Linked DNA regions of Coturnix japonica. The protein of the gene in region 1 purifies or fractionates together with the protein of each later gene. This does not show direct contact. Links are inferred from orthologs where the notes say so. Each region holds a gene or a part of one and is shown on either strand. Other genes may lie near its edges.

Evidence for each region.
Region 2: the proteins of MLF1 (region 1) and DNAJB6 purify together in Homo sapiens (affinity purification with mass spectrometry; 3 studies listed by BioGRID and IntAct, counting the BioPlex papers as one, with this or other methods). This does not show direct contact. The link is inferred for Coturnix japonica from reciprocal best matches to the Homo sapiens genes MLF1 and DNAJB6.

The regions. Positions count from the first base shown.
Region 1 is NC_029524.1:19,969,268-19,973,681, forward strand, and holds the start of MLF1 (myeloid leukemia factor 1), read right to left. Parts: upstream 3,000-4,414; 5' UTR 2,916-2,999; coding exon 2,869-2,915; intron 1-2,868. UniProt on the Homo sapiens protein: Involved in lineage commitment of primary hemopoietic progenitors by restricting erythroid formation and enhancing myeloid formation.
Region 2 is NC_029517.1:7,734,898-7,738,711, reverse strand, and holds part of DNAJB6 (dnaJ homolog subfamily B member 6), read right to left. Parts: intron 901-3,814; coding exon 769-900; intron 188-768; coding exon 46-187; intron 1-45. UniProt on the Homo sapiens protein: Has a stimulatory effect on the ATPase activity of HSP70 in a dose-dependent and time-dependent manner and hence acts as a co-chaperone of HSP70. Plays an indispensable role in the organization of KRT8/KRT18 filaments.

The DNA.
Region 1 (4,414 bases):
AGGCTGGAGGAGGTCCCAGGCTGTTCCTCCAACTCTTCAGTCCCTATCAGCACCTGAAGCTGCCTTCCTGCTGCCCACCCCGCACCTCCCATCCCACACACATCACTGCCTGGCAACTCTTTGCCCTCTACAGACTCTTAGTACAAAGCAGCATCTAATTGAATTTTTCTTTTTAAGAGATTCAATTAGAAATGCAAAGCTAATACATTTGCAAACAAGACTCTTAATGCAACACTATCCCTTTAAGCTGTGCATTTAGTTCACTGCAGTGCAGACAGACCGTTACAGCTCCACAGGAGCAGTTTTTCCACTGCTGTAAGTAGACCCTAATCTACCCCACTCACATGACTGCCAGCTTTAACTTCAATCCCAAGGCGATAAGCAGCTCACATACAGGATGAAGAACAGATGCAAACAAGTCACTGTGCAGGCCAAGGTGAGGGAAGCACGCAGGCCCTATCACAACGTGGGCATATTTCCACACAATCTCAACACCACAAAGTTCAGGTTGGTGTGGTTACCAGGACAAAGATGGATGAACTGTATTCCAACAAGTGTAAGATTTCTCCCCAGCCTCTCCCAGTTCAGAAGCAGGTCACACAATTACTTCTAACACAAGCAAAACAAGATCCATGGGCTTCGTTTAGATTAAAAAACGAAACACACCTCTGTTGCTTTTAGTGTACATAACACACACAATATGACCCCTAACACAGCCACACTTCAGGCCTGATGAAATTCATTTTGTCCTGCTTCACATTCTCTGGCCTCTTGGCCACTCACCTTCTACTACAAGCATTGCTACGCTCATAAACGCATCCAAACTTGGGGATTTTTGCTTTTGTTTTTTGGACCTTTCAAAGCAAATCCTATGAAACAATTTAGAAGCACAGCTCCTTACTGCCATGGGCAAGGAAGGAGGATACAAACTGTGCAGCAACTGAGCTCCCACCTCCCCAGGGATGTTGTGGAAGCAGCTGTAAGGAGGCTGAGTGTTGTCAGGCTTCCAAAGCAGCAGCGCTGCTCCTGAGCGTACAGAAGTTGGGCAAAACCAATGCTAAGTCAGCAGGGAATCACTGCAAGATAAAGCATCTAAAAGGATTAAATAACTCTACCAGAGGATACAAGACCTTCAGTCCTTCGTTCCAATCACGCTCTACAACAGCAACAGGTACAGAGTAACTTCGTTTAGTTACTACTGGCCACCTGGTATTCAAACTGAACTCTTCAAGGAGAAAGACAATAAACTCCTGATGAGACTGACACAACTTCTGCACAGTTCTGCTACAGAAGTGATGGTGGAAAAAGCAGTTCGTTTTGTAAGGATTTCACACATTGAATCTGTGCCCTTCACATGTTAAGCACCATAAATGAAGTTGCAGAAGCAGCCTGAAGAGAAGACCTTGAGCAATAAGACAAAGGCTGCGCACTAAGTTAAACACACTTAAACCCACTTGGCAGGAGGGCTGCAGCTCCTGCACCTGTCTGAGCCATCAGGCACAGCCCTGCTGGCCACTTCCAGGACAGATGGAGACGTTCCCTCTCAGACACTATTTCCAGACCAGCAGTCAAAACCTCTCCTTGTGAGGCAGCTGAAGCCTCTTATTGCACTACCTTGGAGGCTCTTCTTATCTGAGGTAATAAACTCATTTCCTTAACTATATGTAAAGCAGATCGATGTGGATGGTGCCAAGGAAATGAATCTCACTATCAAGCTCTTATCTCTTTCACACACTCCCTCTGTCTCCTGCCAGCTACTTTCCTCCAATTTTAACCCTCATCAGGACGTTGAAAACTACAACAAAGCAACTGAACTGAATAAACCAGAAGGCAATTGCCGTTTCAGAGGATCACAAAAGCACGTTGCAAATTACTACATATGAGACAATTTCCATCGTTATTCCCATTCAATCAGAGCACTGTGTGGCCTTTAGTATCCTGTCCATGAGGTCTGAGCTGCTGTGACTGTCCCAACCTCCTTCCCAGTGCCAGGAAGGCGCTGCTGCAGCTGAGGTTCCCTTTAAGGGGCACAGCCTGAGCTCGGACAGCCCGTCACTATGGGATGCAGTCAACAAACCCACACCACAGGGCCCAGTGTTACCCTGCCTCGTCCACCCAGCCCTACACCCTGAGCTGTGCTAGCGATTAAGCTCAATATCACAGAATTATCAAGGTTGGAAAAGACCTAGAAGATCATCTAGTCCAACCATCACCAATACTTCCCAGCTAAATCATATTCATCAACACAACATCCAAACATTTCTTGATCACTCCCATGGTCAGTGACTCCACCAGCTCCCTGTGCAGTGCATTCCAATGCCTGACTACCCTTTCTGAGAAGTAATATTTCCTAATGTGCAGCCTGAATCTCCCCTGGCGCAGCTTAAAACCATTCCCTCTAGTTCTATCACTGAATACACGAGAGAAAAGTCCAAGCCCCAGCTCACTACAACCCCCCTTCATGAAGTTATAGAGAGCAAACATCCTACACTAAAATGGCTTTATATATACATATATATAATAATTTATGCTCCTTTGCGTTCTCACGTCCCATTTTCACCCCATTTCCATCCCATTTTCAGGTTCCAGGCTCAAACACCAACACTTTTGATCACAATAACCCCCCATTCAGAGCCCAGGACCCGCCGTTCGCTCAGCGCTGTCACTGTGTCACTGTGTCACTGTGTCATTACCACGCAGCTCCTCACGGATGCAGGTCACTATTAGGCCCGGCTCGGCCTTTAACCCCCCACCGCCGCCAACCGCGCTCCGTGCGCCCCGTCCGTCCCCCACATCGCGACCCTCACCCCCCCACCGCGTGTGTAGAATTGAATCTCGCCCCCCCTGAGTCCAACACCCCGCTCTCACCGGAAGAACGGATCGTCCTCGAACCACCGGCCCATGGCCCCGAACATGGCTGCGGCCCCGCGCGCACTGAGCGCCCACCGCCCCCACGGCCCCTCACGGCGGCGCCCGCTCGCCCACGTGACGCGTCCCAGCGCCGCTATTGGTCGCTATGGGGCATAGGGGCGGGGCTACCCGCTGCCGTGGTAACCGATGGCCGCGCGCGCTCCCGCTGCAGAAAGTTCGGGGCTGGGGGCGGCGGGAGCGCGCACGGAGCGGCGCCTCAGGGCGGGATGTGACGGGGGGGATAAAGAGCGCGGGGTGCGGGGGGGGCAGGTCGGAGCGTAGGGATGGATTCAGTGTTATCCCACTAGATGGCAGCAAAACAAAGCCCCGCCGATACCGGCGTCCTGCCAAGCGATCCTCACCGCCACACAGGGCCGGCGGAGCGGCTCCTTCATGCCCTGAGGAGGGGCACACACAGCCTTCAATGCACGATGGGGCGGCACTGCCTGCTGGGCGGCCTGTTGTGCTCCCATACACAGCATGGGCTTCATGGTGAACTTGTTTGCAGTCTGCCACCCAAACCTCACCGAATACATGTATATTGTCATTATTCATTGCTATTTCTGAGCAGACTCTGAGCTCAGTTACACAGTGTAGCCTTTGCATGAGTTCTGCCTTGCAATAACAAGCCTATTACTTCCATGCGATGCCAAAGGCAGCTCGGTGCCTTCCAGCAGCTGCTGAGCGCACACATTTCACCCCCAGTTTCTCACTGAGATTCCTATGGGGTCAGACTCCTTCCCAAGTCAGAGCAGCCCCATCACAGTGCAGGTAACCAAGCAAAACGAGTCCCAGTTATTGCTAATTCCTCTGCTGCTGGTGGGAGATGGGCCCTGTTAGGGGCGAGCTCATTATGGGCTCACTACCACCACACAGCCAGTCCTCTGCTCGCACACTGATACCTCTAATTGCTCAGGCCTTCGTACAGTTTGTGTCTGCTCGAGTTACGTTTCTTTTGTGTAGATAAAAAGACTTCTGTAAGAAATCACCTCAGTGCTGCAGCGCTGTCAGTCTGGAGGGCATCTCCAATGAGATTAATGATGTCTGCCTTAATACGAGAAAACTTTGCATAAATGAGATTATGGTTTCTGCTGAAACCTGCCAACTCTTATTCATTTGCGGTAAATATTATCTTTAATTAAAAGTTTTAAGGTATCTTGTTCCTGAGCTAATGAGATCTACAGTGATTTCCCTTAGGAATTAATTTACCTTCTTAATTCTTATTCATTTTGGTGATATGACTATTTAAATCTGATTCAAACTTCAGAGCTTTGTTGAACGTATTCATCTAGAACAAAAGGTCGTTTTGCCATATTGACGTTGAGTTGGTGTTTATAATTCCCTCTCGGTTCCATGGGTATTTGTGTAGGTTCCTGCCCCAAACATCCCCCCTAACACTTCTGTTTGTGTTACCTGCTCATGCTGTGCAGTTCTTTCTGCAGCTGTTTCACTTTGGCTCATCTGCTTTCTCTTCCATCCAGAGCACAGATCAATTACAGTGAGG
Region 2 (3,814 bases), on another chromosome or scaffold:
AAAACTATGTATTTCTACATAGTTTCATGGAAATCTCTCTCTTACCTCTTTGTAGTAATTTTTCTGCCATTAACTATTTTAGTTGAGGTTGATACTGATTTGAAGTTTCCCATCCCACTACCACCAAATGACGTAGAGGAGAACGAAGCAATGCCTCCGTGTCCCAGCGAGCCAAATGAAGTAAAACCTATCGGGGAAAATGTTAACGTGACAATTATTTGACTAAAGACATAATTTTGCATGACTGTGATCTTCAAATTTATCAGCTAATCAGACCACCTCCTAGCTTTAGTTTTGTATTGCAAACATCCCAACTAATATTCAGTCTTAACACTTGAAACAATACTAACTACCATAAACTCTCAAAAAGCTCTGAGACACAGACCTCACCATTCAAATTAACTATTCCAGAACTCGTTCTAAATAGTACCACAAGTTTCAAAACACAATATTCCCAGGGTGCTTCCCAAAACTTAACACAGTCACACCAATGCTCAAGGACAAACAGAACCAAAACTATTCTCAAGCCATAAACAACTGCAACGTAGTCTTAGAGGTCTGTTCACTTTTTATCAACTTTCAAGTAGACCAAATACTATAACAAAGGTTTTATTTACATTCAGACTTTTTAGAAAGCAGACTAAATTCCCAGAATATCAGTCTCACAATTTCCTGAATGAAGGCAACTTTTAAAAGTATTTATCTGCTTACCACACTGAAATCCTTTGTGAGACAAAAGTATTCTTTGTTAAATGCTACACTATTTACCTGTGTCAAATGAAGGAAAAGCACTTCCAAAAGCAGGGAATCCACCAAAGGCATTGAAAAATGATCCGCCATCTCTGCTTCTGCTTCCCCTTGGACCCCGTCTGCGCCCAAAGAAGTCCTCAAAAGGATCTTCTACAAAACAAAAGACATTTAAAGAGGTTAATCTCACCTCACATATAGAATTACAATTCTAAGCAATTGATTTCCTTATCATTTTAGCCATTTAGTATTAAAACAACAGTAAACTTACTGTAATGTCTCAGCATAGTAAGAGTTATAACAGAAGTTTACTTATTTCAGATGCTCACACAGCATAATTGACTGGGTATCACGATAAAAGAACTGCAAATAAATACCAACTTGACTGTGTCCACTCAGTATTTGTCAGATTTAGAACTCATCAGATGCATTATCACGATCTCTACACAGCAGTAAGGAGTAACACTGTGGAAAAATTAAGATCTCAGAACTTAACAGTGTTTACAATATTGGACATAAATACTGCCCACAGCTTACTGCTGTTTCAGATCTATTGCATTCCACCACTATGGGGTCTCTGAAAAGTAACTTCCAAACGGTTTGTGTCAATAATAGAAATATAAAAAGCCCAATCAATGACTGAACAATAACTCAAATTTCAACTACTCTGTGTTTATTTTAGCCCTTGCCACATTAGGTACTTTAAACATTTATTCTGGTGCAGATTTAAGTAGTAAATTACAGGACACTGTGCACAAACTTATGAAGAGACGTTCAGACACCATCAAGCAGGAGAAAAAGGTGAAAAACAGAGAGTGTCGTGGAAAAAATTATGTCAAATTCACACACAACAGTTACGTCAGCAGCAGTTATCAATTCCATTCCCATTAGCAGAGCAATAGATTCTTTCTAAAGATAGATATTATATACATATAAAAAATGTCCACCTAACACATTTTTGTTTATGTATGATTTCATATATGTACATAAACACCTGTGCAAGAATATCCCTATTTACTTAGAAGCAATCAAGCTTTCCTAAAATACAGACATTACTGTGGCTATCTGAAAAGATTTTTACTAACGCTCTTCAAACAAAGAGCTTTAGATTTCAATCACGTAACACATACTCAACATATATATTTCTTATTTTAAACTCCAAAGTTCAAGAACTTCAACTCATCAAACAGGATGATTAACAGATTAACAGATAAAAGATTAGCCCACTCCTGGTATCAGCACAAAAGCCCAAGCTGGTGCATTCTACATCACCAAGTAAACTCACTGGTGACATCTCTAAAGCAATCAATCTGGTAATAAAAATTACTACTTAGCACACGTGATTCATTTACAGAAGAGTCACATTGTATTTAAGGCTGAACAAATAAAGCTCCTAAGGTCCAAAAACATATTTCCACTAGGGAAGATAGAAAATGCGAGGAACAACAAAAACAACCCTAGCTTACACAGTTATTAAATAGAAAAGGCAGGACCAAGCTTTTATCTTACCCACGCCACCAAGCAATGACTAAGTTTCCTTGTTTCCATGCTTTTTTGTTTTTGTGCTCCTGCGCTATTTTTTACCTCAAGATAATCTGTTATTATCTTTAAAACATTACAAACCAAACCAGTTCTTGGGCATAGCAACATGGGAACCTATAACTATGGTTAGCATTTCCCAAACAAGTACTGTAACCATTCTTTTTAAAGCTGCTTCCCCCCCACACCCTCTCCCCAAGATAGTTTATCAGCTGGTAAGTCAAACCAATGCAGTTAATTGTTTTGAAGCCTAATATATTCTTGCTTGGGTGACTCAGAAGTTAGTTATGAAGGTCATTCACTCACGTGTACAAATGATCTATATTATATTACTCTCACTGTTAAGCTTTCTATTAATAGCTCAATTTTTCCTGTTACCTGGAGTTTGAATAGAAACAAAACAACCTGCCATGTAAGCTCTGAGTATACGATCCCCCCACTCTATCAGCCTGTTCTACAGGGGACTCTCCCACAAAGCAGCAGCCAAAAATGACGGTTTTATGGGAGATCCCAGAATCCCCCAGAGATCCCCACTGTCAACACAGCTGTAAACGCATCACTGCCTACTCCTTGCCTAACCTACACTTGGGTGTGCTCTATTTCAGCCTTTGGCAACCCTACACACCAAAAAAACCTGAAGTCTTTACTCCACTTCCAGCCTCAGGTGATTCCAGATTGCAGTTCTGCTAATAAACCTCCCATGTTCTGCCAGTAATTCTCTCCAATAAATTACATGCTGAAACCTGATTGCAACTGATTGCTGAATCCTCAGCAAGAAAACTCACAAGGCAGGGACATGGGGAGCTTTTCCAAGGCAATATTCTCTCCTCATGGCTGCGCTGACAGCCATTCAAGTACAGTACAGAGAAAAAAATGCCAAAAAACACTGAGCAGTGATGGCAGCAGGAAGCTTCTGCACCATCATTTGTTGTATCCACCACCACATCCACACGCATAAAGCAACCCCACAACTGCTCAGGCACTGTTTATGATTTTAGGCTGTAAATCAGGATGATGAATAGTCCCACTCAGCACAATAATAACATCTCAGCCTGGCAGCTCTATTTTTATGATTTAGCACCACCTTTCAAATGCATGAGAACCTTTTCAAATAGACAGCTTCTCCAAAATGGTTCAAATGAAGCTAATAGCAAAATATTGGGGGGTTTTGTTTGAATGACTCCTCTTACAATAAGAATTTTGGTGTAATTTGTGCTACCACGAGTGAAGGCCCTTCCAAAAATGGAAAATACAATATACTGTGCAATTGATAAACATCATAAAGCCAAAATGCTGGACCTTAAGGTACTACTGGATATTGTTCACTTTAATCAGGTGAGTATCAGAAGCTTATGAGATGACAAACTATCAGATGCGGCACCAAAAGAAATGGTCAGCACACACCTGATGTCAAACTCATGGCATCATGAAAACAGCAAGGAGCACAGGGACTAAAAGGTGAGGGGGCTTGGGAAGACAGGGAAAGCTTTCTATTCGGATCAGTGGGATGACACAGGGACAATGGGGA